Xenopus tropicalis: one gene and its partners. The main gene of each other region encodes a partner of the protein of the gene in region 6 in a complex. Links are inferred from orthologs where the notes say so. Each region holds a gene or a part of one and is shown on either strand. Other genes may lie near its edges. The genes, in order: sf3a2, sf3b4, ddx46, sf3b2, sf3a1, sf3a3 and sf3b1.

Region 1 (4,845 bases), on a different chromosome or scaffold from region 6:
TGACCTATAGCAACCAATTAGCAGGTTGCATTTACTGGTCACCTGTTTAAAAGAAAAAATCTTATTGGTTTAAAAGGCATAAAGGTCATTTTCTTATCGCATAATTTTATTTTTTTTATTGTGACATGCTCACTCATTTTGACTCTCTTAGATGCTATTAAGGGGTATTCAAGAGTTACACAAATGCATAGTATAACCCACTTTCAAGTACATATGCAACTAACTGAAAGGATATGTATTTACTCAAAAATGCCACTTGCTTCTCCATTCATTGTTGGTATCTTCTCTTTCTGTAGGGGAGTTATCTGGCTCATACACAAGGAAAAAAGCATCAGACAAATTTGTAAGTTAAATGTGCTGATTTTATGCATTAAAAAACACAGCAATGTCAAGTCAAAGTTTCCATTATTTATCTAAAGAATGTAAACATAGCCACCCCCAAACTGTACTTCAGTTGAACGTTGTGGTGGGAATTCCTTCCTAAACCCAAACTTGACAGATAATTGTAGGAAAGGAAACCACCCAACCCATTTTTAATTCCAACCAAAACCAGTCCTCCATGCATCTTGTCAGGGTTTGTGCACAACATCTACAGTTATTAACCGCTTGCTGCAGGTAGATCATAAAAGGTATGGTGTTTGCAGTCAAGGGAGTAACTGCCAGAGCCATAGGTTTTAATGTTCTGGCTTTCTCCATTCTCTTAACCTCTCAGATCGAGAGGTGTGGCAGAGGAATGGTTAATTCTCCTTAATTTTAAACATTTTAAGTTGTGTCAAATTGCTGTACTGATTTCTCTGGCACTGTCTTATTAAAGATCATTTTGTGAACAGTTGCAGACATTCTTACTTTTTTTTTTCCTTTTGATCAGAGCTCGCCGAGCGGCCAAAGAAGCAAAGGAAGCACCAGCACAACCTGCCCCAGAAAAAGTAAAGGTAGAAGTGAAGAAATTTGTCAAAATTGGTCGACCTGGATACAAGGGTGAGATTAAGTGTTGTGTCAATATGTCTTTTATATGAATGCAGTGGTTTATAACCCTGATTCCAACATAATAATCTTTTTTGGTATCCTCAGTCACATGTGGATTACCCTTACATTTAATAGCCTATCTTTTTGTTTGAAGACTGGTTATGCTAACATTTGGCTTAATCATCTGCTTGCAACAGTCCTCTGCACCCATCAGTGCAGGTATATCACTAGGTGCTTTCAGATGGATGTCAGAATTATGCAGTCACACTTTCATCTACCTTTTGTTGCTGCTGTTAGAATGTTTTAAACATTTAGAAGTCCTGTTAGCAAATGTTTCCAGCATTAGTGATGTTTTTTGCACTGATATTGATTTGGCCACTCAGCATTGCAGCTGTTTCTGCCCTGTATCTTGAATGTGAAAGAGTAAATGATATTATTTCACTGACTGATAATAAAGCCATACATTTATTTATTTTCTAGTGACTAAGCAGAGAGATCCAGAAATGGCCCAGCAGTCTTTGTTGTTTCAGGTAATAATGTGATTTACTGATATGCCATCTCTCTTAGACTCTATTTTAAACAAATAATTTAGATTTTTAAAAACAAAGTCCCTTTTTCTGTAATAATAAAACAGTACCTTGTACTTGATGCCAACTAATATAATTGTTACTTATTGGAGACAAAACAATTGTATTTGGTTGATTTAAAGAAAACCCTGGGTCGCAAGCAATCTGGATAAGAGGTTCCATACCTGTATTACAAAAAATTCTATATTACTGATGACAACAAGTATTGTCATAAATGTTACCCCTAAAACAATAACCAATATGTCAATGATGCTCCAGATGCTATAGGGGTGCCCATGCTGTAATGATGCTTCAGCCCTGTCTTTCTTTCTCTGCAGATTGACTATCCTGAGATAGCTGAAGGTATCATGCCCCGACACCGCTTTATGTCTGCATACGAACAGAGGATTGAGCCCCCAGACAGACGATGGCAGTACCTGCTGATGGCTGCAGAGCCCTATGAAACTATTGCTTTTAAGGTAGGATAAGCTATAGAGCAAGCCTTTCTCTAGCATTTGAAACCATAACTTTGAAAAACTCGCACATACAAAACCCTTCTCACCTTATAACACAATTATATATTCTTCAAATACGATTCAGTAGGCGTACCAAACACCCACCATTTCTGCAAAATGACATATTTTTAGTACAGCCTGCACTAACCTACTGAAAATTGACAAGAATTATTTTATCCATGTATCCAATTGTGGAATTTCTACAGCACTTTTTCTTTTATCCAACAGGTCCCAAGTCGAGAAATAGACAAAGTGGAGGGAAAGTTTTGGACACATTGGAACAGAGAGACAAAACAGGTAATATAAAATACATCTTGTGCAAAAGGGGGATCCCTCACGTATGTACCCTAGTAGTCTTAATTACATGTGTTCATTTTGTGCACATTTTGCATATTTCCTCCAAGACAAGATAATTGCCTGACGTGTGATTGTGTACGCAGTGCCCAGGTGATCACTATAAAAGTCTATGGAAGGGCAGTTACAAGCTGCCCACCAAGCTGCAAATTATACAGGGGTGGGTGGCAAAACACCTACAGTCCTGCAGTATGCCATAGGGATAGTTAATTTAATAGTTTTGCCTACCCTTTTTTCTTTAAATGCCAAACAGGCTGAGGTTTAACATTGTGTGTATAAATATTCTTTTTTTATATTATTTAAATAAATGTATAGTAAAAAGCCATAAAGGAACAATAAATAACCCCCCAGTCCTGTCTTTAAGGTAATAATGCATAAATATCAGACAAATACACAATCACCATTAAACAACATTGTAGTAGGTTAGTAGTAACTGCAACAAAGGCAGTATATTCTTTGTTTATTATTACATACAGCCACCGGGTATAACCAGTTACCACAGGCATAGGCACTAAATGGAGAAAATTGCAGCATAATGTATTTAAGCCTAAATGTAAAAAAAAAAAAAGCCAAATATAGGACTTCCCAGATATAAACTGTATAAAGTAAAACACTAAATAACTATTTGAATGTGATGTACCCCTTATTGAAATGGATTACATCACCACTCCATTTTTAAATAACAAATATCCCCACTGTAAAAAATCCTCAGTCATAGTGCCAAATATCAGATCATCATAGTGTAAGGCTAAGGTTATATCCACACGAAAAAATGTTGCCGGAAACCGTTTGGTAACACTCTAGTTTTTCTACACATTTCTGAATACTTCTGGATTACCTTGTAAAGGCTTGGAGCTACAGTATGTGACCTTTTCAACACTTTTTCCTTTGCCCTCTCTTTCAGTTTTTCCTACAGTTCCACTTTAAGATGGAGAAGCCTCCACAAGCACCCACTTTGCCTCCAGCACCACCTGGTGTTAAAAGACCTGTTCCTCCAGCCATCAATGGGATACAAGCACGTCCTCCAATGCCTGAGAATATGCCGCCTCCTCCTCCAGGAGGACTGCCTATGCCCCCAATGCCACCTGGGACACCTGCACCTCCTGTACCGCCACCACAGCTTCCACCTGCCCCAGTTGTTCCTCCTCCTGGGGTGCACCCTCCTGTGCCCCCACCTTCTCTTCCTCCTCCTGGCGTACCACCACCTGGTGTACCACCACCTCCTAATCCTGCTGTGCCTCCACCTGGTGTTCCACCTCCAGGCATTCCTCCTCCAGGCATTCCTCCTCCTGGTGTACCCCCACCACCTGCCCCAGGAGTGCCTCCGCCCCCTGCACCTGGTGTGCCACTCCCTCCAACGCCAGGGGTTCCACCTCCTCCTGCCCCAGGGGTACCTCCTCCACCAGCGCCAGGTGTACCACCTCCAGCACCTGGTGTTCTCCCACCTGGCCCTATGCCTCCAATGATGAGGCCACCTTTACCTAGCGATGGACCAACAAATATTCCTCCACCCCCTCCCACCAACTGATGTATTTCTTTTTCAAAGATAAGCATATTTTTCCCAGTTTTTTTTATTTGTGGTATGTTTTAAATCATTAAAAAAAAATCCCACCTTTGAAATAATATAATGTGGTTTCTCATTTTGTGTGTATGTAGTAGAGTTAGTTACAGGAAGCAAAGCTATAATAACAAAGATTTGCATGGTCAATTGAAACAAAACATATTTGCATTGTTTTGCATTCTGTGCAAATGGATTGAGGCCTGCAATATCCTACTGGGAATTCCTGATTTAATATGTACTACAGAGTGGTGCATTGGTTATTCCAGCAATATCCCTGACAGAGTTTCCACAATAGAGGTTTTGTGAGTTGTCAAGGACAAGGTATGGGAGAGTTTCACAGGGGTGGCTTTCTAAAAATAAGCTGTGAGGGATCCCATTCATTTTGCAAAGTAAAAAAAATTAAAAACATGGGACAGCACAGTTTGGGAATGCGCATCCCACAGTGAACTCAAGGTCTTAGCTTGGCCAAAATGCGGGAACCTCCCAGCATCTCGAACAAAGCTTGGCAGTAAAGGCATCACTAATATTTTCTGAATGCAAGGAGGTATTTGTAACATGCCTTTCTGCACAAATACGTGTGTGAAGCAAGAGGATTGATGCTGCATTACCTTTCATGACTGAGATGCTACCAATATTGTTTTTCAACTACACTGTAATGGGAATTGTAAGTTTAGGTTGGTGGCTACTTATGTTGCCAATGATGTGTCTTACTTTATCAAGCAAGTCAGTTCCAAAGGTTGCAAAAGAAGATTATAAAGCAATTGTTCTTCCAAAAACCTTTTCTCGATCTAGTCAACTTGTGAGACGGGAGCTGGGAACTGAGGAGCAGGACAAACAGATGTGTGGGGTGTCTGCTCCAGGCTGGAGCAAGTGGGAAACTCAG
Region 2 (4,896 bases), on a different chromosome or scaffold from region 6:
CAGTCATTTCATGTCCCAGTCTGGCCCAAGCATTCATGCCACAGGCATTTTTTGACAGACAAAATATGGTACATCACCCACTCCAAAACCCCTGTGCAGACACAGCAATGAATCCTCCTCCGCTGCTCCGTTGGGTACAGCACTTTATATAATGTGAGGAGTTAAACTATGTTGCAGTGCCATCTTGCAAGTCATGCATAATGGCGTGGCAAGATCAAGACATTTGCCAATCCTGATTGGTGGGTAGGGGGCAGCAAATCAGTACTGTCCCACAAAAATCAGTAGTTATAACCCATATACTGGGCAAAATCAAACTGATCAGATGGTTATGATCCAACAACTGTATCACAACCTAGGACTATGGGACAATGTTGTCAAAGCTGCCAGCTTATACTGGGGAGGCCAACCAAACTGTCATCTTACATTGTCCTGTGTACAATCAGGATAAAAGAGAATAAAAGCCTGGTTAGTACCTTTGTCCCTTCCTAAACCCCACCAACAGGGACCCCCAAACCTGCTTAGTTGTTGTATCTGGTTAGAAGAAGAAAAGTGCAGGTTTGGCAGCTGCCATCTTGGGCTGCTCTGGCTCCCCTCACTACTGCTCCACCAGTCTGCTTTTTATATCCAGGGGCAACAAACAAGGAGTTTTTGGTACCAAGGCATTCACCAGGCTTTCAGTTACCTTTAACATTAAAGGTTTAAAAATATACATCAGACACAATAGTCAAATCTACTATTTGGCCAATAAGACTTTCTTGTCTCACTAAATTCTCAACCAACAGACATCTCTATGTAAAAGGGGAGGAGCATTGGTCTTTACATGTGACCCTTGTATGTTCCTTTAGGGTGAAGACACACAGAGCTACTAGTAGCAGCTACTTTTTCACAGCTACTAAACGCCAAAAAATCCCCTGCCATAGACAATACTGAGAATTCCCTCTGCTAAGGGCTCTGGCACACGGGGAGATTAGTCGCCCGCGACAAAACTCCCTGTTCGCGGGCGACTAATCTCCCTGAGTTGCCTTCCCCTGCCATCCCATCGGCGACAATGTAAGTCGCCGGTGGGATGGCACACGCGGCGGCGCGATTTCCCGAAATCGCCGAAAAAGATTTGGGAAATCGCGCCGCCGCGTGTGCCATCCCGCCGGCGACTTACATGTTTGCCAGTGGGATGGCGGGTCATGACAACTCGGGGAGATTAGTCGCCCGCGAACAGGGAGTTTTGTCGCGGGCGACTAATCTCCCCGTGTGCCAGAGCCCTAAAACACATTGAGACTGTTATCAGTAAATGATCAGCATTGTCTATTTAAGTAGCGACTACAAGTAGTTGCTACTAGTAGCTCCGTGTGTCTGCACCCTTAGCTCACACCAGGGACCCTTTAATAATCCTTGGTGCCCATAGAAACAATGAAACACCCTCTATGCGCTGACAATACTGGCACATTTACTGTAAAATCTTAAAAAAATATAAAAATAAATAAATAACCCCCTCAGAGTTTACTACACGTTTACTTTTAGCTTTGGGGTTTCATTACAATACAAATATCTCCGCCGGAAAGCATTGACTGCATAAGGCATGTTAATAAAGTTATTCCATCTAAAAAAAAAAAAAAAAAGTGGTTGCGGAAGTAAGCGTTCTGAGGCCGGAAGTAGGGAAGCGGAAACTGAAGCAGCGAGGTGGCTGAGTGGTTGGCGGCGAGAAAATGGCGGCTGGGCCGATATCTGAACGGAACCAGGGTAAGGAACGTACAGACTGCGTATGGGCTGCATGGGGTGATTGGGGCGGAGGGAACTGTTATGCCGGGGGGGCTGGAAGTAGGGGTATCCGGGGTTTACAGGGAACAGTAAGAGCTCAGAGCAGGGGGAGGCGGGCTGCACTGTGTGCATGAGGTGCAGGCTCCATCTCTGTGCAAAAGTCATTTGGACACAAAGCTGTTCTTATAATATCGGCAGCCCGGCCTGTAACTGTACCTGAATCTACACAGAAACATTGATCTGCTTCTTCCCCACCAATACAGTTTATAGTGCTATCCCCATAAACACTGTGTATAATGCACAGAACTAATGCTAAGCAGCCTCCCTATATACATTCATTACACATTTCCAACGTTTATAAAGTTTCTTGCAAAATATAATTGTTAGCGAAAGCCGTCTGTCTTATTATAGTCTACACTGCTGGTTCTGACTTCTGAAACAATGTAACAAAGGCCAGGGCTATTAAACTATGAAATGGTTTCAAGAATAAGAAAGGGGCAGATAGATACTACTTCCAATAGCAATAGCATTTACCTTTGAACCACTGATTTTTTTTATTACCGTATATACTCGAGTATAAGCCGATCCGAATATAAGCCGAGGTACCTAATTTTACCTAAGAAAACTGGAAAAACTTATTGACTTGAGTATAAGCCGACCAGTTACATGGGAGTAGGAGAAACAATAGGTTACCTCAAAGCTGTTCTATCTCATGGTGGCGATTTGGGACATCAGTGCCCGACAAGACAAGGATGAGACACCCACAGAATGGCCACCCAGCACCCTGCTATATTTCAATGAGACCCAAAGCAACTCCCGGTGTGCAAGTGAAGCAGCGGTACCTTGCGGTGTGCCCTGTCAGCAGCGCCAGAGGATCCGTAAGCCCAGCATTTACGCTGCTCTTTAAATAAGCGGCGGCGCTCCTCTTAATTCCAACCTGTGTGTCTGCAAGGAGCCGTCATGTAATCGCCTCGCCAGCTGCCGTGTGACAAGGGTTAAAGAAACAGAGCGCTCTCGGCACAATTATTGCAATAAGCAGCACACCCGACAGCAACAAGACACCACGGTCCGGGAGTTTGGCGCTGTTTGGCCGGTCCTTAGAGTTGCGGGACAACCTCAATAAAGTCCGCGAACGGGTCCTTCGCTATCTGGCGGTAGTCCGAGCGCTATCTTCCGCTACGTCACAGGTGTGCAGGCAGGTTCGCATGCAACGAGCAGCTGCGAAACCATTTACCGTATATATACGCGAGTATATGCGCGAGTATAAGCCGAGGGTTCCTTTTTCAGCACATTTTTAGTGCTGAAAAACTCGGCTTATACTCGAGTATATACGGTATATATATATGTTGGAAAGTTGATGAAAACTTTCTCTCGTTATCTTTCGGGTTTATAGGTGGATATCTCCAGGGTTGTAAAGGGAAAGCTAAACCCTGTAGCAAGGAGAGTTTGTATTACAAGGATTAAAGGAACAGTAACACCAAAAAATGAAAGTGTATAAGGGCTCTGGAACACGAGGAGATTTGTCGCCGGCGATTTTTAAAAGAGCGATTTGGCGACAAGACACCAATGCTAAATCAATGGAAATTGCCAGCGTCAAAACATACGAGGCTACTTCAGATCGCCTGCTGTTTCAAGTCGCACACAGACCCTTTTCTGAGCGACTTGAGGGGGGTTAACTGTTGAGTGTACCATGGGTAGCAGATCGCCTGGAGCTCAACTCGCATGAAATCTCTTTGAGGGTATTCTCGTGGCGACTTGTCGCCAAAGCGCCAGGGGGAAAAAACGCAGACGACAAATCTCCTCGTGTGCCAGAGCCCTAAAAGTAACTAAAATATAATGTGCTGCTGCCCTGCACTGGTAAAAGCTGTGTGTTTGCTTCAGAAAGTCTACTATAATTTATATAAATAAGCTGCTATGTAGCCATGGGGGCAGCCATTCAAAGGAGAAAAGGCACAGGCACATAGCAGATAACAGATAAAACACTATTGTATTCTACAGAACTTATCTGTTATCTGCTATGTAACCTGTGCCTTTTCTCCTCTTTTCCAGCTTGAATGGCTGCCCCTGTGGCTACACAGCAGCTTATCATATAAATTATAGTAGTGTTACTGTAGCAAACACACCAGTTTTACCAGTTCAGGGCAACAGTGCCTCGGATCTATGATCTGTGCATTTATTCAGAGTGTAACGGGGATATTTAAAGAGAAGGTGGAATAGCTGATTTGCCGTGTACTATAACTTTTTTTTTTTTTCTTTTTGGATTTAGATGCCACAGTGTATGTCGGAGGCCTGGATGAAAAGGTGTCTGAGCCTCTTCTATGGGAGCTCTTCTTGCAAGCAGGGCCTGTAGTGAATACACACATGCCCAAAGACAGGGTCACGGGGCAGCATCAAGGTAAGATTGGCACCTCTTAACCATTATTTCTTATAGCTGTGTATAGGCAGGAATGGAGGGGAATGCTGTGGAGAAGTTGTTGCAATTTGTAACAAGAATGTTTTAGTCCCTCCTCCCCTGCCAGGATTTCAAATGATGCAGAAAGAGAAGAACTGTTTTGCAGCTGGATTTCAGCATATAAAAATGGTATTTATTCATGCTTTTTGAAGGAACAGATTACAGGGTATTTTGGGGGTTTCTGTGTGCGGGAAGCAATAGTTTCCACATCGTTTGATCATGGTTAAAGCAACATATCTACTTGGTCACTGTCTCTTCCCATTTGCCTGAATGGGGAAACACCACAGGTGTCCTGGTGAAAATGTGTGCTGGATCCAAAAGCATCAGGGTGAAGACACACAGAGCTACTAAGTAGCAGCTACTTTTTCAAGGCTACTAAACCCCAGAAAATCCCATGCCATAGACAACTGAGAATTGCCCCTGCTAAAACACACGTAGAGACAATTATCAGTAAATGACCAGCACTGTCTTTTTTTTTTTTTTAGTAGCCACAACAAGTAGCTGCTATTAGTAGTTCCATGTGTGTTCAACCTTAAGGCTGAAGACACACAGAGCTACTAGTAGCAGCTACTTGTAGCAGCTACTTGTCACAGCTACGGGAATAGACAATGCTGATCATTTGCTGATAATTGTCTCCGTGTGTTTTAGCAGAGGCAATTCTCACTATTGTCTGGCAGGGGATTTTCTGG
Region 3 (4,150 bases), on a different chromosome or scaffold from region 6:
CATTAACAGCTACTTTCAATAAAAAGTGATCTTCACCCAAATACATCATACAGGGAATAAATTACCCCTATTTAGTATATACAGTAAACATAGTCACTGAGGAGTTTCATGCCCATTTTACAGCACAAGTCATGTATGTAGGTATATATATATGAAAGATTGTCAGTTTGCTTGTGGCTTCATTCTTTATCTGTTCAGACACAGTATGCCCAAAAGCAACAAAACCTCTCAGGGTCCATCCTTTCCATCTACTTTTATCTACATGTTTTGGGTCCTTGCCATTAATGCTTCAAATGATTTGTTTGGACTCGGAATACAAGAAAACCCTAAATTGTTGGAACAATTAATTTGGTGATGAAATGCAACAACATCTTATTAACTTTATTATTAAAACATTTCTAAAAGACCACTTCAGCCTGCTGTGATGTACAATAGGACGTATACAGCAAACATACAAACAATGAATGCTACAGAAGACAGAGGGCCTTGGGCATTAAAGCTTGCAATTTGAAAGCTTAGAGATCATTCTAAAATTTATAAAAATGACCAAAGCTGTAGTCATTCCTCCAAACTGCTATAACTACACAAATGGAATGCACAAATCAACAGGAGAACCTGGCATTAATGACCATTCAGTATATCATTTTCAAGGGTAGTTGTCTCTGCTATACCTTAAAAATACTTATCACTAGCCATTTCTGGCTGTACATTGTTGTATAAATACCCTCTTTACCCATGTTGATTTCTTGTAAGGTAGTCAATGGAAGGTTGGTTTTTTAGAAGTTTGGCAATGGAAGGTGATAAGGAAGGCTGCAGGTTAAGTAACACTAAACCACCTAGTGTGTTATATAACACCGCCTACCCATGAGGGGGAAAAAAAAAAAAAAAAATTATATATATATATATATATATATATATATATATATATATATATATATATTATATATATATATATATATATATATATATATATATATATATATATATATATATATATATATATATAAATATATAAACAAGCAGAGTACCGCACACAAAGGGACTTTATGAAAACAAAAAAGGTTTATTGGAAAAATCCGACGTTTCGAGCACTAAACTGTGCTCTTCCTCAGGTTTGTCCCTGAGGAAGAGCACAGTTTAGTGCTCGAAACGTCGGATTTTTCCAATAAACCTTTTTTGTTTTCATAAAGTCCCTTTGTGTGCGGTACTCTGCTTGTTTATTGAATTGTTTGACCAGCACCGAGGGCAGTTGTTTTTTGCTCAGAGGGTGTGCTCCTCTCTGTTCTTGTATATATATATATATATATATATATATATATATATATATATATATATATATATATATATATATATATATATATATATATAGAAACTCACCTCTAGCTGTCTATTCCTCTTTTTCTCCTAACCTCCCCCCCTGAGCTCAGCTTAACCAATACAGTGCTCAATCGAAGCAGAACTTTTTTTTTTTTATCAGTGTGCCTGTGTGAGACTGCATTCTTGATAATATGTACAATAAACAGGGGTTTTTGTGCACATATGCTGTTAGCAGATTTAAATGTAAGTGATAATGTGTCAGAGGGAATATGGCCAGAGGAAAATGTGAAGGTGCTGGCAAACAGAGGGGATATATGCAGTACATATGATGCCATTTGGGTGGGGGTGATGTGCCCAACATATATACATTGTAGCAAAATGTAGGCTTTACATGTACTTTAATATTTGCATTAGACAAAGTCAAAGAAAAAAAATTGAGTTAAGGTGGGCTTTCCTGTAATTATAGGGAAATATACACACCTGAGCTTCTGCTCCCAAATTCTTGTTCACGCTGAGTTTCTTAGCCAAACGCTTTGCAATCTCCAGTTTCTCTGCATTGCCTGCAGTGGGTAATGTTGCATTAGCTGAAGAGCCTGCTCCGACAGCACCACCAACCATTCCTGGGGCACCGGTTGCTGCCGCACCACCAGGTCCCGCCATGTCCTTTACTCTCTTCTTCGAATTGAACATGCTTTCAATCTGCTCATCAATCTAAAAGGTAAATAAAACTTTGAATTAATGCAAAATGCTATAAACACATAACAGATAAACAGTGTACATACTGAATTTCAAATACGATTACTTGCAAATACGGCAAACTGTGGCAATGTCATACTATGAGAAAAAGAAAACGGGGTCAGCTCTTTTATAAAAAGGGTCTGTACAAAAGGTCTCTAAAGAAGAAGAAATGTAAATTCATAGGGATTGCCAGTTTGTGATAAGATCTTTACAGTAGCAAGAGTTACCACTCCTGAGTGAGCCTCTTAACACCTTTGTTCCCATTTAGGTCAGTTGAGTTGAGCGGATATTTATTGTTTCTGCCTTTATGGCCCAGGGCACTTGTGAGCTACACATTGCTATATTAAAGGGGATGTGAAGTCAAAAATCATAATCCTTGTGTGTGTTATTTACAGTAGACCAAATGATGTAAATTTGCAATATGAACCCATTAAAATGCTCTAACTTTTTTTTTAATTAGAAGCCTTTGTATATTGCATCTTATGTTATTCCTCTGAAATAAGCTCTGCTCACAGCCCCTGCAAACCTACATGGCCAGTGGCCATCCTGATATTAAAAAAAGCAGGGACTGTCCTATTCCAGACTTGAACAAAAACGCACAGGATATTGTTTACTGGATTGTCATTGTACATTTGCTGATAAGCGCAGGTCAGGCCCAGGTAAGGAAGTAAAACATGAGCAGAGAGTGAGACAGGCCCACTCTTCATTACACAGCAGACATTAAGGAATACAGAGCTCCAGTTGGCTATGTTTTAACCCTGTTTTAACTGCTTTGCCATCTGATTTTATTTAGAACAACATGTTATAGTGCTTTCCTATCTTGGGGCTATATTTAAACATGGAGTTAAGATTTTGACTTTACATCCCTTTTAAAATTTCAAATATATTTTCCAGGTTTTACTAAGAGAACATAACCATGATTGTATGTTTATTACTCACATCAAGAGCTGTATCTTCATCATCCGAATCCTGCAAGCCAAGTGCTGCTTTCTGCAGTTTTTTCCGCTCGTTGGCCAAAGCCTGTTCGGTCTCATCAAATTTAAAGCCTTTACCAGAGAACCCGCTGGTTTTCTTAATTATCTTTCCTTCCTAAAGAAAGATAAAAGTTAGAATAAAAGGTATAGGATTCAACTGTTAAGGGTCCTAGCATGACAGGGTTGTGAACAGCACTTTCTTGCTGCGTCACAGAGCAAAAGGAGAACATAAGTTTCAAACTTCTATCGATGGGGAAGTAATCCTAAATATAACATTTGGTGTAATAAAACAAATGTTATTCTAAGCGACTATGTAATATACATTAAAATTAACTGTAATATAATTGTAAATTATGAATATTATTGCTACTGAGCAGGATCTGACTGCTCTTGTTACCACCTGCACTACTATTTGACTTTATACACAACTGAAAAAAATTTAGCCGGCTCTCCATACAAATTCCCACAATGCCTTGCACACTTCTGAGATTCTCCTTCTATTGGGCAGGTTTGATTTTCCTACGTATCAGGGGCCGCATTGGCTCATTGATGGGATCCGATGGCGCCTAGGACCAAACCATTGAATTAGCCCAATATCGCCCACCTTAGGTGGGTATATTGGGAGAAGATCCACTCCGTGTACGGCCACCCAAGATTTCATTTTTAAAGTGAATTACTTACTAGAAGGATTTTCTTTTTCTCTGCAATACAACAATACCTTGTACTTGATCAACTATTATAATTAATCCTTATTTTAAACAATCCTATTGTTAAAAGTTATTTTGGATAACAGGCCCTTTAACTGTGTACAATACTTTACCCCCATGTACATAGTCATCTGGATTCAAATGCATAGGGGAAGGGTAAATATCTTACCGCTTTCTGTTGTTCCTTAAATTCATTCCACAGTTGCTCAAGTTCAGCAGGGACTGCCGTGCCAGACAGCTCCAAAGCCTTGATAATATCACCAGCGTAGCGGGCCTGGTCCTCTGTGATGAAGGTAAAGGCATATCCCTGTAAAATTAAGATGAAACTGGTATATAATTCCATGCAAGACCCAATAGAGGGTATTTTGGCATTCTCCATGAATTCCTTCTCGCAGACATCCATAGTGAAATGGC
Region 4 (4,150 bases), on a different chromosome or scaffold from region 6:
GTATTATGAATACACAATAATAACATATAGGAAGTTCAGGCTACTACTATTGCCTGTGTGTGAATCATGCCCTCAGAGGCTTTATGGTAAATTCTTACCAAAACAAATAAAAATTATTTATAATGTTAACAAAACAATATAAATTATACAATATACAAAGACATGTTTGATTTCAGAATAATGTCTGACCTCTTTTTTACTTAGGACATTATTATCCTCTTCTGCCTCTGAAGCTGTATTAACGTAACGGGAGTCTGCATCAATGTCTTCCTCCTCTGAAAAAAAGAAACCAAGTGGTTGAAAAGCAATACCGAAACTACATGCATGTGAATATATAAAGGGAAATTATATATTTTTTATAGTTGAGAATTGCTTGTCTTCTTTTTCTGCCTCTCTCTGGCTTTTGGATGGGGTTCACTGACCTCAGCAGCCTAAAAGCTATTGATTTGTAAGGCTAAAGTTTTATTGTAGTTACTTTTAATTACTTGTCTTTCTATTCATGCCTTCTTCTATTTATCTTCAAGCCTATCACTTACTCCACTGCCTGGTTGCTACGGTTAACCGGACCCTAGCGACCAGATAGCTGGTAAAATTAAAAACTGGAAAGCTGCAGAACTATAAGCTAAAGAATTCAAAAGCCACAAAAAATAAACAAAGATAAATCTCAGATTATTACTGCGTACATCATAGCATATAGCATAGCATGTTCAGCAATACTCTAAGCAGCATCACAAAACAGAACTTTTTGGACTGGCAACAAATCAACTAACAGTTGTTTTACCTAGTAAACCATATCATTTTTGGTAGTAAAGCAATCAAAGCCCGCCAGAAAAAAAAAAAAAAAAAAAGCAGTAGGTTCACTATCTGCATATTTTTTAAAAGCCTCACTCTTTAGGCCAAGGGCACACTGGGATGATTCTCAACACGGGAATAAATGCAGACTGAGAATCAGTACTCTTCTATGCTTGCACCTAGAACCACTGCTTCTGCCTGAGTCCAGGCACAGAAGAGTGCTGATTTAAGGGTAAGAGCTGATTCTCTGCCAGCATTTGTCTATAGGCTGAGCCTTACATAAAGGGGAATGTAGAGATAAAATATTAGGAGATATTTAAAATGAAATGGTCAAACTGTTGGTATGAAAGAAGAGTACACTCACAACCTAACATTAAAGGCCTTACTGGGTGTTGTCTGTTTGGTTCTTAACGATTTAGCATATACAGCTAAAAAAGGAGGAGGCTGCTATTAGTGACAAAACTAGCATACATTTAAAGGACATGTAAAGCCTACATTTGCCTATATGCAAATATCAGTTGGGCATGTCTCCCCCACCCAAATGGCATCATTTGTACTGCATATATCCCCTCTGTTTGCCAGCACCATCACATTTTCCTAAAGAAAATAGAAGCTTTCACCTGGTGGCCATTTTTCCTCTGATACATAATCAGTTACATTTAAATCTGCAAACAGCATACACACACACACACACAAAGACCTTTATTCAGCATACATTTCAGCTAAGGGAGGAGGTTAGAAAAAAAACCTGAAGCAGACAGCTAGAGCTGAGTTTCTATGGAAACCAGCAATGCCATCTCTTCACTGGCTGCTAGACTGGAGGGCATGTTTAGTAATCTGAGTTTAGAACAACTGAGCATGCCCACAAGCCAACAGCCAAAGCAAATTCCTGAGGGAGGGGGACAAGTGGGTAACAGGAGGAGAAGGCAATCTAACTGATTAAGGGGATGCTGCAGCCTTACTATTAACCTCTGGACAACCAGTGTGGCAGGTATTGAAAGATTTCAAAGAGGCTGTTCACTGATTACATTTTTTCGTGTGGGGTTTACATGTCCTTTAAGGGTCCTTAATGTTTTAAGAAGCAAAAGCATTTATAATTTGTCGGAAAATGGCTGACAGGTATAGATCAGTATAGAAGAGTAATAATTCAACACATTTCAGTTACATATTTCAGCTCAGATGAGCTGAAGGTGGATTGTCATCTGAATAAGCACTTCTCGTTTCTCTTAAAGGGGTAGTATATACCTATATACAGCTCTGATAAACATAACCACAATGAATATGACCTGTCTATTCTTTAATGATAAAAATGCATATTTTCCTAATATTTTTGTAGAACTCAACCTGTCTCCTGTAAACAATTTAAGTTGTTCAAAGGGAGCTCTCTATAAACAATTTTTTTTGTTTAATGCAAGAAACAATTTATATTTCTCACTTAAAACAATAGGAAAAATATATGTTCAGCACAAGCCCTATTACTTGACTTTATTATGAAAGAGAGTATATACTTCCCTGTTAAATGCAGATATTCTAGAAAGTTTACTGTAGTTCTTTTTGCAGATTGTGCTGCAGTTGTTAAATGTAGACCTGGATAATTGCCGTCATAGAAACAAACTCAGGCACACATATATCAAAGTAAAAATGCCATAAACTGAATATGCTTTCAGTGGCATCTAAATGACATGAGCAATCAGGGAGTAAATTAACATGCATTCAAAGGTTATTTTTGAAGTGAGGATTCAAACAGGCATATAAGGGGAATGCATAGGTGCATATACTGGGTTTTGTATTAGGTCCTCTAATAAGAAACCATGACAAGAGGACCAAATAGTTATTTGGTAACAGCAATAATTACTTCCTGGGCACTGTTATAAGTTTTAGGAGAGATTACCAGTAGTTGCTGGCAAAGATACAAGCTCTTCTTGCCGGAGCTCCTTAAGCTGAAGAATCTTTTCAAGGACCTGAGGGATTTTAGGTCCTGTTGAGCTGTCATCTGCCTGTTTTAAGAAAAACAGAAACAATCAGAACATGATAAAAAGGTTGCAGTGCAGAAAATATGCAGCACATAAAATAATAAACAAAAGAGGAAAACTGAGGAAAATGGAAAGAGACAATGCCATGAACAAAACGTAAAAAGCAAATAAATTAGCAAAAATTTGGACTTACTTCCTTGGAATCCTCTCCAGAAGGTTGTGATTGGACTCGAGGGCGGCTTGTGGAGGACATCAATGGTGGGATTGAGCTTATGGGGAGGGTACCTACAATTAAGATATACTTCAATACATATAGCAGGTACTCACAGATCCCACGAGCAGGCAAGAGTAGAAAAAATCAAAGAAGCTTTATTGTAGACAATTAGACCACATAATAGCTTTACTCATTTCGTGCACTTGACACTTAATCATAGGCTAGCTTTACCTACTTTTTGATTGCGAATGTACACCAATTTCCCCCCCAGAGGACAGAAATTATTCTAGTGTAGAAATATATAAATATTTACCTCTAGGAAGAAGGGGTGACCGTGTCGTGGAGACTTCCTGATCGATAAGTGTCACCTAGAAGAACAACAATGTAAATATATGGTTGTGTTAAGTGAAACATTTCAAAAGGCAATACATACACCATTTAGACAGTTAACTTTAATTTTTTTCCCCCTTACTAATATTTACTAAAACATATGGGCCAGAGTTATTTAGAGCCATTAATTTATATTCTGTGTTAGTTATGCATTCATCCTTTCCTCTCTATGTATTTATCCGCTATGTCCCCAATTATACCCCCACCTCAGCCTTTATACTTGTACAAGACAACTTCCCATACAGTTTCTCAATAGCCCCGAGTCAGAACATAAAATACATTTTCTCTAATTGCCTCTTGCTCCTAGTAAGGAAGCAGAGAGAATATACCAAATCTAGTACTGAATATAAAACCTGGGCTTCACATGAAGATGAACCAAAATCCAGGGGTCACAGTGTTCTTTTCTCTTCTCCAACCCTGCTATATCTCTCCAATGGGACACAGCAGCATTTGTATTAAAGACTTCAAAATTTGGTTTCATTAAGTATGGTGTTGTGATACTACCTGACATAATAAAAATATCCCTGGAACCCTGTGGCTAACAAATCACTCAGTTTTGCACATAAAGACTTGCAGAATCATTTGCGAGACTGATACTTAAATAAATGACACATTTTTGAGTCTGATCATTTAGGACAGGAAATACATTTTTACCTTTGGCTGCAGTGAAAGAGTTGGACCTTGTGACTGCTTTACCCCATCAGTGTCAGTAGTTATGCGAGGAGGCAAACCTATTGGAAAACCTCTTCCGAGACCAGGAGGTGGGGGAGGAGCCTGAAGT
Region 5 (4,894 bases), on a different chromosome or scaffold from region 6:
CAGTGTGCAGAAAAGGCAAAAAATTATGTGTCTATGTATCTCAAGTCTTTGTGCTCACTGTCATCAAAATTGTGATCATGCAACACCAAGGAAAATTTAGGCGGTTTAACAGGTTATTAAGGTTTTATTATATTTACAATAGTTATTCCATTGATGAGACTTAAGGAAACTTGAATACTTAAAGCAACTCTGCACAAATCTACTTACCCATCCATTATTACCATCGATATTAGAAGACTATCCAAAAGCTTTGTCAACAGGCTTCAAGGCCTACACATATTTCATTATCTGATTAACAGTAGATAAATACTGAACATGATAAATGTCAATAGCACCGTCTCTTAACTGGCTTTAGGCTAATGTCCCAAGAAGAGATTAGCTGCCCACAATAAATCTCTGGTACCACAGGCGACTAATCTCCCCAAAATGCCTGCAGGAGGAAAGTTTGCGCGACTTCGGAAAATGATTGATGAGTGATGCGTATGCCTTTCTCCACGGGTGCAGAGATTTATCGTGGGCAACTAATCTCTATGTAGAGCATTAGCCTTAATGACACTTTCTAAAAAGCCATCATTATTCCATTTCACCATAATATCTTTCAATTCTTGATTCTAAATAGAATACAAGGAACCATGGAGGGGCTCCTCCCTAATGCTGACAATGTGCTACCAATTAGTGCTAAAATAAGTAATGGGCTATCACCCAAGCACAAAAATATACTTGGGTGATACCCATTACTTATTTTATCCCTAATTGGTAGCAAATTGTCAGCATTAGGTAAGGGGCCCCTTCTTGTATCCTTGTATTCCATTTAGAATCAAGAATTGAAAGATATTATGTATCCAATTCGTGTTTTTATGGGAAAGGGAAATACTTTTTTAAAGATATTATATAAAATTTGATGTGTCATCTTATCTATAAGATTTTTTCATGCAATGTCTGATAGTGGCCTTATAACTACCAGGGAAATGGTTTAATTGGTTTCATAAAGGTTATATGATTTGGGATGTACATATTTCAGCTGGAGAATGGACATTAAAATATTAAACTTAACTCCTCCTGCTGCTCAGGGCTTCATCCCCTGCCTACCTACCTCAACACTTCTGTTAAACTGCCAAAATTTTTATGCAGTGTTAAACCCATGTCTTGATTGTGCTAAACACCAGAAAATTTCCACACTATGTTTAGCAATACTATCACCACTTCCATGAAACTGTGAACCAGGCTTGTTTGTTTTTAAGAATAAAAGAGGCACATAGGCCCAAGGTAAAAGAACAGCGATTTCTTTTACTGGAGGATGCCTAACAAACTGATACACTCCTGTGTGCAGTTTTGCTAGTCCTTTAAATTAGTACATAACTGCAAATTTAAAAACATTTATTTGAAAACTATCTACAACAAGAATATATTTTAGGAGGCACCTTGCTACGAAGCTTGCGGTTTTGTCCACTATATTTCGGACTTCTGGAGGAGGGTAAATAATTCCAACAACAGGCTTGGATGGAACTACCTCTTCTTTCTTCTCCTCCTCCATCTGCTGCAAAAAAAAAAAAAACAAACAAAATAATATAAACAAAGTGATAAACATAATGACAAATTAATGTGCAGAAAATATAAATAAAAATGTATCTTGGCCCATCACACATATAATGAAAAATAATTGCCACACTGTCTAAGATTTAACTGCACTGTATTACAAATATATGTTTAAAAAACATAAAATAACAGCAGATGCCTCAGACAAAGACACCTCAGAGACTGGAAAATGTTCAAAGGGGCAGTATAACCTGTCACAGGCTTGAATGTTCATTAGCAGAAAAATACAATATCATCTAAAATTTGTCAGATCTCTGGCTTACATTATAGTTCGGGGTAAGGAATATGCAGTGCAGAAACAGCCCTTACCAACAAGCTGCAGCATCTCACTCCAGGGAAGACTTGAAATTTAAGGCCCATCCAATGCCCTACAGACTTGCTTTATATTGACTATTACTTGTAAACACAAATGTTATTGAAAACTCTACCTGAGTGGCTGCTCGCATTCTCTGCGTTTCTGGTTCTGACTCTTGAAACAATACGACAGAAGTCAGCTAAATTAGAACTTCTGATACAATGTTTAGAGTCAAAACAAATACCACTTGTAGCTGCAATTATATTTACAAATAACGTCTAACATTTCTTTAAATACACTGTACAGTTGCTTCTTTCATTTTCTATCATTATGCAAGTGTTTTTGCTTAAAGATCCCCATAGAGCATAGTTCTGCACGTCTACCCTACACCCCACCCCAGGCAACGCTCTGCGAACCTTAGCTCTATAACTATTTAACTATTTCAGCTTTAGACCCACTGCTTTAACTGCTTACGATGAACCTGTTTTATTTACTCAGAGAAATAGACTAGACAGATCATTACTCCACATGACCAAGGCCTACTCTTTTTCATAAATCCCTGAATAATCGGAGAACCTCTATCTCCCTCTGCCGCGATGCAGAGTCCCGTACCTGGCCTCCGTCCGGTGTCTGCGGCGCCATTATCTGCACTGGTCCGGCCGGCATGGTGCCCACTCCAATCCCACAAACAAGGACAGAAGCGGTAACTTCGGCAGACGAGCAAAATGGCGGCTGCGCAGAATCAAGGTAGGCGTCTCGTGGATAATCCCAGCTGAGTGTTATTATTTACAGCGTTCCGCCTGCAAAAACGTAGCATACATAGTCTTTATCTTAAGTCAATAGAAACAACTACAGAATCTAACTGTACATATTTCCTTTTTTTTAGTCTAATGCCATAGCGTGTAAGCGCGTCACTTCCTACCCCCCTTTTTTGTTGAATGGTATATTCCAGGATGTAACTTGCACACTGCGTTGCGGAACCACGTTGATTTTCCACTCAGACGCTCTGAGTGCGTGGTTGCCATGGAGTTGGCTTCGGCGTCAGATAGTTGAGACGTAGACCTAAATGTATGGCATGGAAGAAACCTGAAAGGACGTTGCCAGCGCATTCGGTTATCCTCATAGCCTCGGTACCGCGAAGTTTATACAGGGGCAAAAGTTTTTTTTTTATGCCACACGGAGGGGGGGGTTTAAGGCATGCGAACGATTGAAAGAGCCGCAGCTAACGTATGCAGTCCCTAAATTAGGTAGGTGTTTTATTAGCAGCAATGCAATGAAATCAACTAGAGAGGTACATTTCCTGAAGAAAATGTGAGTGGTGCTTGCCGTGGCAAAACTCGTGCCCCAATATTACAATGTTTCCTTCAGTTCGGTTAATTGCCCCCTGCTGGGGCAATTTACCGCCCACCCCCTAGAAAAGCCATTGCACCCCATTCCCGAATAAGCCGCATGGTTTGACACCTCATTCATGGGTCTACGACAAACGTGGTTAATTGCCCCCTGCTGGGGCAATTATCCGCCCACCCCTCAGAAAAGTCATTGCACCCCATTCCCGAATAAGCCGCATGGTTTGAAACCTCATTCATGGGTCTACAACAAACGGTGCGGGACTCATTCAAATTTGGTCTCAATGTTAAGTCTATGGGCGGATAATTGCCCCTTGCTGGGGCAATTAACCGCCCACCCCTCAGAAAAGTCATAGCACCCCATTCCTGAATAAGCCGCACGGTTTGACACCTCATTCATGGGTCTACGACAAACTAATTATTTGCCAAAATCCCCATTATAAGTCAATGGGGCAAATTTGAGGACCTCTCTTGCCCCGGGGGTAAAACATATACCCTTGTGCGGGGTATCTTCTGACACAGGTTGCAAACCTCTTCAAATGTGGTAAATTTCATGTTTCTAAAAAATTCCCTCTCTGCGCTACAATCCGTCAAAGTTGGCCTCAATGTTAAGTCTATGGGATTTTTGGGCCAGTTAATTGCCCCCTGCAGGGGCAATTAACCGCCAACCCCTTAGAAAAGACATAGCACCCCATTCCCGAATAGGCCACACGATTTGACACCTCACTCATGGGTCTACGACAAACGGTGCGGGACAAGTTCCGTGCCGAACTTTTGTACGGAAGAATAATAATAAGCCTGTGAGATAATAGAAGTGATGCTTTGCAAGCACCACTAATAACGTCAGTCTTATTCGAAGTAGTGTGATTAATTTCTATTTTAAAAAGACCAGTAACACAGTGGCATGAAAATGTTATAGTATGTAGAGAGTCATCTTTTGCGAGATAACGTGACGTATAGGGTTTGGATGAATGAAAAGGGTTCAGATTCCGTAACCAAATTCTGAATTGGGTGCATCCGTAAACTATACAAATAAATATATGCAGCAATGCTTTTATTTATATCAGAAAGGTTTATATCTTACCTATAGCCATTAATGACATTGACCCCCTGTTCACTTGTATTCTGCTTTGCAAATGTGAGCTCTACATGAGGGTCGACACCTTTTATAGAAAAATATATCAGCCTTTATATCATTTTTTTTCTCCCATTTGCCATTAATAAGAATGGCTTTAGGGATGAGTTTTGACAGCCAGGCGGCAACCTTATTTACATCCCTATTAGAATTTGCATGACTGCCCACATGGATAGAATATTTTCTTAATTTATGTTATAGTTCCTTCTAAAGCAAAAACATAGATTTTACCAGAAATATAAATATGAATGTATGTGAAAACTGTTCCATTTTTGGTCTTACAGGCCCATTTAGTTTCAACTACTTAGTCTCAAAAATGTGAAGAAAATTTCCAGTGGAGCTGCTGTGTCTAAAGACTTCTGGGAATTGTGACAGCTGTGTAATTTTAACTTACATGTATGACAAAAAAAATAATAAAAATATAAAAAAAATGTTAAAATAGAATCACTGGGTTTGCTTCCCAGGCTGGTGCTGCTGCAGGTGGGGGGGGGGGGGGGGGGGGGTAGTAAGAGCACCACACAG
Region 6 (3,476 bases):
TCATAAAAAAATGTCGGGAAAATGACAAAATTTGAAAACAGTCTGCTTAAAAGACAAATTCACAAAAGTGGAGATAGAGGTTTGTGAATTAGGTGGAAAATCCCACAAATCTATCTCCACTTTTATTTTGTCTCAATATCACCACTTTTGTGAATTCCCCCCTATGAGTTGTTCAAGAGAAAAGCAACTATACTTAGGGGCAGATTTATCAAAGCGTTACATCTCCGTATAATTCTCCCCACTCTGCATTCATTCCTATGGGACTGTGTTGGTCCAAAAGTAACTTTAGAATGGATGAAGAACAAGGCTGCTAATGAGCAAAACCTTTTATTTGACAAAAAAAAATGATCTGTTTATTTTAAAAATATGTAACAAATGAAAGCCTTTAAAGTAGGATGTTTGTTTAAATACCCATAACTATGTAGGCAATATAAATATGGCTCCTGGTTTAAACATAAGCTTAAATGGTTTCTTACAAATAAGAGGTGGACTCCTGCCACAGAAGCACAGTAGGATGTGGGTAGCCAATCAAAGATCTGCCTTCACAGACACAGAGGTGGAGGTTCCCTCTCAGGTTTGCCTAACTGCTGGCTGCCCAACCATGAAATTGGATAGGCTGAAACCCTGCAGAGGAAAATGTGCACCACCAGATAAATAAGTCCACCAAACAATGGAATGGCTGCCCGATGCTAGTGAAGATTTTAGCGAAATGTATAATGCAATGGCAAATACTTGTTCTTGACCATATCCAGAATTGACCAGGTCCAGAATTCAGTAAATCAAATATTAGACCATGGTTCTCTAAATAAATATCACTAAGAATCTTGGATTCCCTTATTTTCTTCCCAGTCACTACATCTAATATGAATCAATGGAGCAGGATTACAAAATATGAAACGATATAAACAAACTGGCCTAATGCATTGAAAATTTTGCACATTTTTAATTAAAAAAAAAAAATTTGCATTTTGTAAAAGATGAAACGTTCAACAGCTTTGCAAATAGAAATGTCACATTAACAAACATGAAAATCCAGAACCATAACAGGGCAGTTAGAAACAAAATGTCCATGGTTACAGAAGTCCTTGACGCTTTAAATCTTCGTAGGTCTTCTTATTTACAACATTCCCACTGGAATCTTCGTATTCCTCCTATTCAAGTACAGAAAAAAAAACACTGTTCAATAGAGGCACAGTGTGTTTCATTGTCTCATACATATAAAACATGTACATAAGGAAATCCGGCAGTGAATAACTGTAGGTATATAAAGCATGTCATGAAAAATAAGATTTTACCAGAAAAATACAAGCGCATTATACTTAAAACTGATTTCCTTTTTTTCTGTAATAAAGCAGAACCTTTTACATGAGCCCATCTAAGATATCATTATTCCTTATTGGATGCAAAATAATCCTATTGGGTTTAATTAATGTGTTTAATGATTTTTTTAATAGACTTAAGTTATAGTGTTAAAAATTATGGAAACACAGTTTATCTGGAATACCCTAGGTCCCAAGCATTCTAGATAATGGATCCTATACCTGTACCACAAGTGGCACATAGTTACTTGGGGATAGGTAGTCACTACATCAAAGAAAAACACTATATAGCTATTTTTGCTGCAGCTCAAAATAAATCTCTGCTACCGTGGGTGACTAATGTCCCCAAAAAGCCTTTCCACTAGCAATAAAGGGAATCGGCGGTTGAAAGGCCTACGCATTGCTCCCTTTTTCCCCGTTTTGCCTGCAGGAGGAAACTGTGTGTGACTTTGGAAAAACAAAATGATGCATAGGCCTTTCCACCACCGATTCCCCCCGTGGGACTTTAGCCTAAAGGTTTATATTTAATCTCACAAAATTGGGACCACAGAAACTAGATAGCTGCTGTAAGAAAAGTAAGTAAGAAGAGTAAGAAAAATTATTCAGACCAATTGCAAATTGTCTCAGAACATCACTGAGGGGTCCCCCAAACTTTTTTACTCATGAGCCAGAGTCAAATGTAAAAAGACTTGTAGAGCAACACAAGCAGTATAGAAGTTCATGGAGGTGCCAAATAAGGGCTAAGATTGGCTATTAGGCAGCCTCTATGCACACTATCAGCTTACAGGAGGCTTTATTTGGTAGTAAATCTTGTTAAGTCAGGCATTCAAAAATAACTACCTGGTTTGGGGGCACAGAGAGCAACATCCAAGGGGTTGGTGAGCAACATGTTGCCCCTGAGCCACTGGTTGCGCATCACTGGTCTAAAGCCTACAAAAAGTTATTTTAAAGGTAAATTACCCCTGTTTGGAACTGCAATTACCCCTGCAAATATTTCTATGAAAACTGGATACGTTTAAAAACAAAACTGCAAAGCACTTTTCATAAGGACATCAAATATGATATGGGCCCAACAATGTTTAAGTATTTTTTTTTTTGGTTTCTATTTATTGTGTTAGGTATCCATGACTGCGGAAAACAACAGGTTTTGCACATCTGCATACAATAACCATGACATATCTGGTTATATGCTCAGGAGGAATTGTATGCACTTTGATAAATCCCAGTAGTCTTGATTTGCAGTAAATGACTTTCTGAAATTACAAACTAAAATGAACTAAAAGCAGAAAACATTACCACTTACCTTACTTAACACATTTACAACTTAATTTTTAATTCATTAGCAAGTGAAATGGCTACTTTACCATCCTGCAAATTATAGAGGTCTAAGTTTAAGCCAGTGTTAATACAGTAAGGACTCACCTCTGTATCAGGCTGCCATCTTTCAGAGGCCTTCTGATGCTTCAGCTTTGACCACACTATAAGTGAATGAATAGACAAGTATGTAATATATGCAAAATTGCTCATTAATAGGTTAGTTATAATTATAGGTTAGTTCTCTAATGTTTAATACAATTAATAACTGCAAAATTCCAGAGAGCAACAATTGGTAAGATAGGTGACTGATGAAATGAAATATGTGCTAGACTGAATTCATGAGAAAAAGCTTTACTTACAGGACACAGCATCCTCAATCTGTGTTACATTAGCAAAGTGTGCAGTGTTTGGAATGCCAAGACATCTCATGCCATGAGCATGACGCCATTCCTATGGATTGAAAGAAAACATAAGTCAGTCAGTACTGGGTCAGACACAGGAAGGGAAAAAAAAGTACAAAATGCTGCATTTCACCATGCCATGAAATGGATTTATAGGCCTCCAACTAGAGCTGAACTAATTTTATCTTATAAAAAACAATGGTAGGTGGTGTAGTTCAACTGACAATATGCTGCTTGAATGCCGCTTTCTTCTGGTTAAAATATAATATAATGTACAGCATCTCTGTAATGACTCCATCTTATCCTACATGCATTTCCTAGGAACCAGCTATGAATAAGCCATCAAACAGGTTGTTATCCTGTACTTTACTGAAGTGTTTAATGTCCAATAGCAATTTCATTCTGTCTTCTTTTTAATAAAGAAATAAGCTATGGGTTG
Region 7 (4,690 bases), on a different chromosome or scaffold from region 6:
TGCGGCGTTGCGATTTCCCAAAATCGTGGAAGTTTCCTCTCAAGGCAAGTCGAAATTGCGGCGCCACGTATGCCATCCCACCGACAATTCACATTCAAGCCGGTGGGGTGGCATATCGCGGGCGACTAATCTCCCCGTCTGCCGTAAATAGATAAATTAGTTGGATAAGATTCCCATTGTATTTGCTTATTTGTTATCTGCTTATGTAACCTGTGCCTTTCCTCCCTTTTCAAGTCTGTATGGGAAAAATATGAGATATATAGTATAGGATAGGGCAACAACAACATTACTGACATTTCTTTAAACAAACAAAATTATTCAAACTTACATCATCTTGCTCATTTGCTGCTATAGATGTGACATATCCAGTAAATCTGCTATCACTTCCACCATAAATTTCTTGATCATAATATCCAGTAGAATCAAGACCAACTCCTTGTGTCTCATCGAGGGCTACCTTCTTTCCTTGAATTTCACGTATCTGTGCTTCAATATCTGATTGGAAAAATATATTAAAATATTTAATGGTACATTAGTTTGTTAGCAACTAGAAACCAGAGATAAAGAAAAGGTAACAATTTAAAAAAAAAAAAACTCACAACAAGCTTGCAAACAGCTCAATGCTAATAATTGATATGTAAATTAGGATAGAGTCTCAAAAAAAGAAATTCTAGGAAATTTAGTATAGGACAAATTTATATTAACTTTGGATGGGAGAAGACTAAGTTTAAGTTGTTTTTTTTTTTTTTTTTTAAGGGTATGCAGCGCTGTACAATCTTACAATATAAAATATTACACACAGGGAGGACAAGTGTTATTTATACAAGTATAAATACACAGGGAGTAAGTGCCATGTGGTATGAGACACAGTAGGAAGGAGGTCCCTGCCCTGAACATCTCACAATCTAAGCATGTAGATTATACATAACCCCAATTTTGAAGACACTGTGGTTTTCTTGATATGGTGTCTTAATTTGGATCTCCATACCTAAAGTCTACTAAAAAAAAAACACAGGATTTTTGTGCCTCTAATAAGTATTAAAGGAGAACTAAACCCTAAAAATAGTAGTAAACTGACTGCACTAGTCAAAAGTTTCAGCATCTCTATAGTAGCAATGATATAGGTCTTTACAGTTGTCACAGGAGCTTCTCATCTTGGATTCTGTTAGAACTGTCCAGGACAGTGCACATGCTAGGGCGGCTGTTGAGAAGCTAAGCTGAGGGGTTGTTGCAAATTATGAAGCAGAAAAAAGGCTGGCCTGTCATATAAACTAATGCTATAGGTCTGGTTATTAAATTCTGCTGCTAATTGCACTGTTTTCACAGCTGCCATGTTAACTGAATCCAAATGAATCACTAATCAGCCTTATACCGTTACATTTATATTGTATATATACAGTATATTGTGCGTCGGTCCCCAAGCTCAGTATCTGACAGCAGCACAAAGTATGTGCAGGGAATCAAGAGAATAGAAGATGAGGGGCTACTTTATAATTTAAGAGAAAAGTAGACTTTTAAAAATTTGAATTTTTTTAAAATTAATTCTATGGGTGATGGTCTTTTTGGATAATGGTTTTCCAGGCAATGGATCCTATACTCTCTAGGCTTGTTGTTTCAGATATTTCACTCACAAACAGAACCTACAGTATGAAAACCAAGGTCTTTACTTGTATACTAAAACAAATGTGTTAACAACAGTGGCGACAAACAGGCACCACCATTGTACAGCCTTTTTACATTGATTCGTAGTAGAGGAAAGTTCGAAAATTTACCTACACAGGTAGGGGATATCGGATTGATCTGATCATTTGGCTCTAGGCCCAAACGTTCAGATCACATTTATGGGATGCAAACAGTCGGGGATTGCATCAACAACCATTGCACTCCTCCCCCTGACTGGGTTTTTTTTTTTTTTTTTTAACCTCTCTGATTGAAATCTTGCCCAGATATTGTTAGGGCAGTCCTGTCTGAGGGCCCCATACACGGGCCAATAAACTGCCAATGATCAGCAGCTTTTTATCCCTCATGCACCACACAGGTCAGGCTATCATTACTTGCTATTTTCCCTGACCTAGGAGAGCAGGTAAATACCTTAGTTATCAATGTTGGCCAGATCAGTGTTGTGTTTCCTGCCACCCTGAAAAAAACAGTTTACTAAGAGCGGCGACAAATCTCCCCACAATGCCATCCCACCAGCTAGAATGTAAATTGCCAGTGGGGTGGCATACATGGCGCTGCAATTTGCTAAAGTTGCCTTGAGAGGAAACTTCGGCAAATTGCGGCGCTGCATATGCCATCCAGCCAGCGATTTACATTCTCAAAGGAGAAGGAAAGGCTAAAGGGGATGGGGGGCCCTTTCCAGGGGTACAAGTTAAGCAATTACAATTACTGGGGGGGTACCTAAGATTTAGCATCCCCAATGATTTAGCCATTCTTTCTCCTTCAAGGCAATTCAGCCTTAGTAAATAGGCACATAAGGCAATTCAAACTGTATGGTTAACTCCAGGTCAACAAACAAAATGATCAAACGGACTATTTGAAGTATTTTATCATCAGCCCACTGACATCTGAAATCACTTGGGCAACTAAACACGTTGAATGTCCTCGCATTCCACTGCTCTTCCTTGCCTTCTACACAACCAATAGAAACGTTTCGCCTCCAAAAACAAACAAAGGTTAGTACATTAAAAGACGTTCTCTGACCCTCCGTCGGGTCCACAATAAAACAACAGGTCACCGGAATTCATAAATATATTACAATCTTAAAAGGACAGAGTAACCGAAATCCTGTTTGTTTTAATCCAACTCCATTGACTATTCGCGTGTGCACAGAATTAATAGCCAGTAAGGCCTTCTCACGTTTCCCGAAAGTTTATAGATTCATCATTTCATGTATACAAGGCTGACTTACTAACCGAAATTACAAATTATCCCTTTCACCGAAACATTAGTATTCTATTCTTACCTTCGTGTGTTTTCGCAATTTTCGCCATTTTGTAAAACCGTAAAAAAGAGGCAACACGCCACCAAAGCTCCTCCGTAGGTAACTAGGCGCATGCTCTGTTAATACGTAGAATAATGGGCGGTCTCTATTGGTGGCCGCCCAGAAGCGTCACAGAATGTTTTTATGCTTTAGGTTTCCGGGAGTAAGATCCTGCATGGTGGGAGTACGTTTTGTGATCCGTAGGTTTTGTACCGTTATTCGGTACCGTGAGCGACGTTATAAATAGTAAAATTAAAATGCATTATATTTTCAGCAATACGTCGCAGCATTTTACAGTTAGTGAGGCTCTTACTTGATCTCACCTCTTACTTACACTTACCAGGTAATTTTTGCGCAAAGCGGTGGGTTCATATAGGTTAGCCCCACCACAATTAAAAGGACATGAAACGGAAATATATACAGTCCGAAGCAGCCCCGTGTACGGTTGAGATTCTGCTGAATTGGCCGTAGTCCAATTTAGTAAAGGCCATGATGCGCTCTTTGCACTAAAGTATAGTTGCGCTCAACACTGTTTTGTTGCTTTCGTCTTCTGTAGTTCGCACAGTGGTACCCACTGATGCAGGGGAGACCTAGATCTACATCACCTACGCCAGCATTTGAAGGACTATAAAGCTGCTGTTGGGTCATTAATTAGATACTTCACCCAGGGCCAACTCTCCATCTCTACATGCCCAAAATAGATTTTCTACTTTTTGTTACTCCTGTCTCCTTTTCTGTATTTTGCACAGTGACGCCCATTGATTCAGGGGAGCTCTGAAGCTACACCACCTCCAAACCAGCTGATAGTGCCAGGGTTACCACACTGGCCTGTTTAAATCAAAGCAGCAAAGTTATGCCAAAAGAATTTCAGCATTTGTTTGAGGGATAAAGTTGCTGTTGTGCAAGTGTACAGCTTGCAATAAGTTGGCTCCAGTCAGTTATGTAAAAAATCCCATTTATTAAAGGTCATCATGATTGCCTTGCTGATCAGATTCTGCTAAATTGGCTGTAGTCGGTTATGCGCAAAATCCAATTTAGTAAAGGCCATGATGCGCTCCTTGCACTAAAGTATAGTTGTGCTCAGCACCATTCTGTTGCTCCCATCTTCTGTAGTTCGCACAGTGGTGCTCACTGACACAGGGGAGCCCTAAAGCTACATCACCTATGCCAGCATTTGTTTGAGGGACTATAAAGTTGCTGTTGGGACCTTAATTAGCAACTTCACCCAGGGCCAACTCTCAAACTCTACATCCCCAAAATAGACTTTCTACTGCTAGTTTGTCCCCATATCACAGTCAGTCCTTCAAATTATTGTTCCCCAGTGGTTTTCTCTACTGCAGGGTTTTCCTCTTCCAAGTCTTCAATGATGACTGAAGTATGCCCCACCCAAGATACTACAATATTGTAAAAGCAGTGTGTATTTTTATAATTTCTCTGATCTTGATCAGTTCTTTTCCTTAGGGTGCCCTAATGTAAGAATAATTTGGGCATTTTTATCCCCAGTAAAAAGTTCCTGTTTGACCAGTGTGATTCTCAAGGGCTGATGAGGAATGTTCCCTTTAGGCTATATCCCTTTTGGGGTCCTGGCACTTTGTGTGCAGAACTGACAGAAACCTGCACACTTTGAATCAGGACCACAGTAAACAAAGAGTAAAAGACTACTTTTGGTCACTTTCACCCACTGGGTCTGATTCAGGTTGAAGAGAA

What was found.
Region 1: sf3a3 (region 6) and sf3a2 share a complex: the UniProt entries of both Homo sapiens proteins name them as parts of the SF3A subcomplex of the 17S U2 SnRNP complex. The link is inferred for Xenopus tropicalis from reciprocal best matches to the Homo sapiens genes SF3A3 and SF3A2.
Region 2: sf3a3 (region 6) and sf3b4 share a complex: the UniProt entries of both Homo sapiens proteins name them as parts of the 17S U2 SnRNP complex. The link is inferred for Xenopus tropicalis from reciprocal best matches to the Homo sapiens genes SF3A3 and SF3B4.
Region 3: sf3a3 (region 6) and ddx46 share a complex: the UniProt entries of both Homo sapiens proteins name them as parts of the 17S U2 SnRNP complex. The link is inferred for Xenopus tropicalis from reciprocal best matches to the Homo sapiens genes SF3A3 and DDX46.
Region 4: sf3a3 (region 6) and sf3b2 share a complex: the UniProt entries of both Homo sapiens proteins name them as parts of the 17S U2 SnRNP complex. The link is inferred for Xenopus tropicalis from reciprocal best matches to the Homo sapiens genes SF3A3 and SF3B2.
Region 5: the proteins of sf3a3 (region 6) and sf3a1 are in contact, whole or in part, in an NMR structure (PDB 2DT7), measured with the Homo sapiens proteins. The link is inferred for Xenopus tropicalis from reciprocal best matches to the Homo sapiens genes SF3A3 and SF3A1. Residues at the interface, in NP_006793.1 of Homo sapiens: Glu80, Phe81, Glu83, Phe84, Tyr85, Arg87, Leu88, Ile91, Lys92, His95; in NP_005868.1 of Homo sapiens: Ala161, Phe162, Asp165, Val166, Leu169, Thr170, Phe173, Asn177, Phe181, Gln184, Leu185, Lys188, Phe195.
Region 7: sf3a3 (region 6) and sf3b1 share a complex: the UniProt entries of both Homo sapiens proteins name them as parts of the 17S U2 SnRNP complex. The link is inferred for Xenopus tropicalis from reciprocal best matches to the Homo sapiens genes SF3A3 and SF3B1.

Annotation. Positions count from the first base shown.
Region 1 is NC_030677.2:102,622,868-102,627,712, reverse strand, and holds the end of sf3a2 (splicing factor 3A subunit 2), read left to right. Parts: intron 1-296; coding exon 297-343; intron 344-868; coding exon 869-978; intron 979-1,446; coding exon 1,447-1,496; intron 1,497-1,870; coding exon 1,871-2,011; intron 2,012-2,275; coding exon 2,276-2,344; intron 2,345-3,305; coding exon 3,306-3,929; 3' UTR 3,930-4,024; downstream 4,025-4,845. Other genes in the region: amh (muellerian-inhibiting factor), read left to right, coding at 4,576-4,845. UniProt on the Homo sapiens protein: Component of the 17S U2 SnRNP complex of the spliceosome, a large ribonucleoprotein complex that removes introns from transcribed pre-mRNAs.
Region 2 is NC_030684.2:128,887,199-128,892,094, reverse strand, and holds the start of sf3b4 (splicing factor 3B subunit 4), read left to right. Parts: upstream 1-1,667; 5' UTR 1,668-1,703; coding exon 1,704-1,737; intron 1,738-4,021; coding exon 4,022-4,150; intron 4,151-4,896. UniProt on the Homo sapiens protein: Component of the 17S U2 SnRNP complex of the spliceosome, a large ribonucleoprotein complex that removes introns from transcribed pre-mRNAs.
Region 3 is NC_030679.2:26,177,517-26,181,666, forward strand, and holds part of ddx46 (probable ATP-dependent RNA helicase DDX46), read right to left. Parts: intron 4,044-4,150; coding exon 3,906-4,043; intron 3,145-3,905; coding exon 2,995-3,144; intron 2,029-2,994; coding exon 1,798-2,028; intron 1-1,797. UniProt on the Homo sapiens protein: Component of the 17S U2 SnRNP complex of the spliceosome, a large ribonucleoprotein complex that removes introns from transcribed pre-mRNAs.
Region 4 is NC_030680.2:40,088,685-40,092,834, forward strand, and holds part of sf3b2 (splicing factor 3B subunit 2), read right to left. Parts: coding exon 4,024-4,150; intron 3,348-4,023; coding exon 3,293-3,347; intron 3,051-3,292; coding exon 2,959-3,050; intron 2,790-2,958; coding exon 2,684-2,789; intron 276-2,683; coding exon 190-275; intron 1-189. UniProt on the Homo sapiens protein: Component of the 17S U2 SnRNP complex of the spliceosome, a large ribonucleoprotein complex that removes introns from transcribed pre-mRNAs.
Region 5 is NC_030677.2:144,333,781-144,338,674, reverse strand, and holds the start of sf3a1 (splicing factor 3A subunit 1), read right to left. Parts: upstream 2,907-4,894; 5' UTR 2,814-2,906; intron 2,801-2,813; exon of another isoform or gene 2,692-2,800; 5' UTR 2,558-2,691; coding exon 2,468-2,557; intron 1,538-2,467; coding exon 1,422-1,537; intron 1-1,421. UniProt on the Homo sapiens protein: Component of the 17S U2 SnRNP complex of the spliceosome, a large ribonucleoprotein complex that removes introns from transcribed pre-mRNAs.
Region 6 is NC_030678.2:83,812,505-83,815,980, forward strand, and holds the end of sf3a3 (splicing factor 3A subunit 3), read right to left. Parts: intron 3,087-3,476; coding exon 2,996-3,086; intron 2,798-2,995; coding exon 2,742-2,797; intron 1,152-2,741; coding exon 1,074-1,151; 3' UTR 920-1,073; downstream 1-919. UniProt on the Homo sapiens protein: Component of the 17S U2 SnRNP complex of the spliceosome, a large ribonucleoprotein complex that removes introns from transcribed pre-mRNAs.
Region 7 is NC_030685.2:45,929,837-45,934,526, forward strand, and holds the start of sf3b1 (splicing factor 3B subunit 1), read right to left. Parts: upstream 3,086-4,690; 5' UTR 2,994-3,085; coding exon 2,966-2,993; intron 496-2,965; coding exon 329-495; intron 1-328. UniProt on the Homo sapiens protein: Component of the 17S U2 SnRNP complex of the spliceosome, a large ribonucleoprotein complex that removes introns from transcribed pre-mRNAs.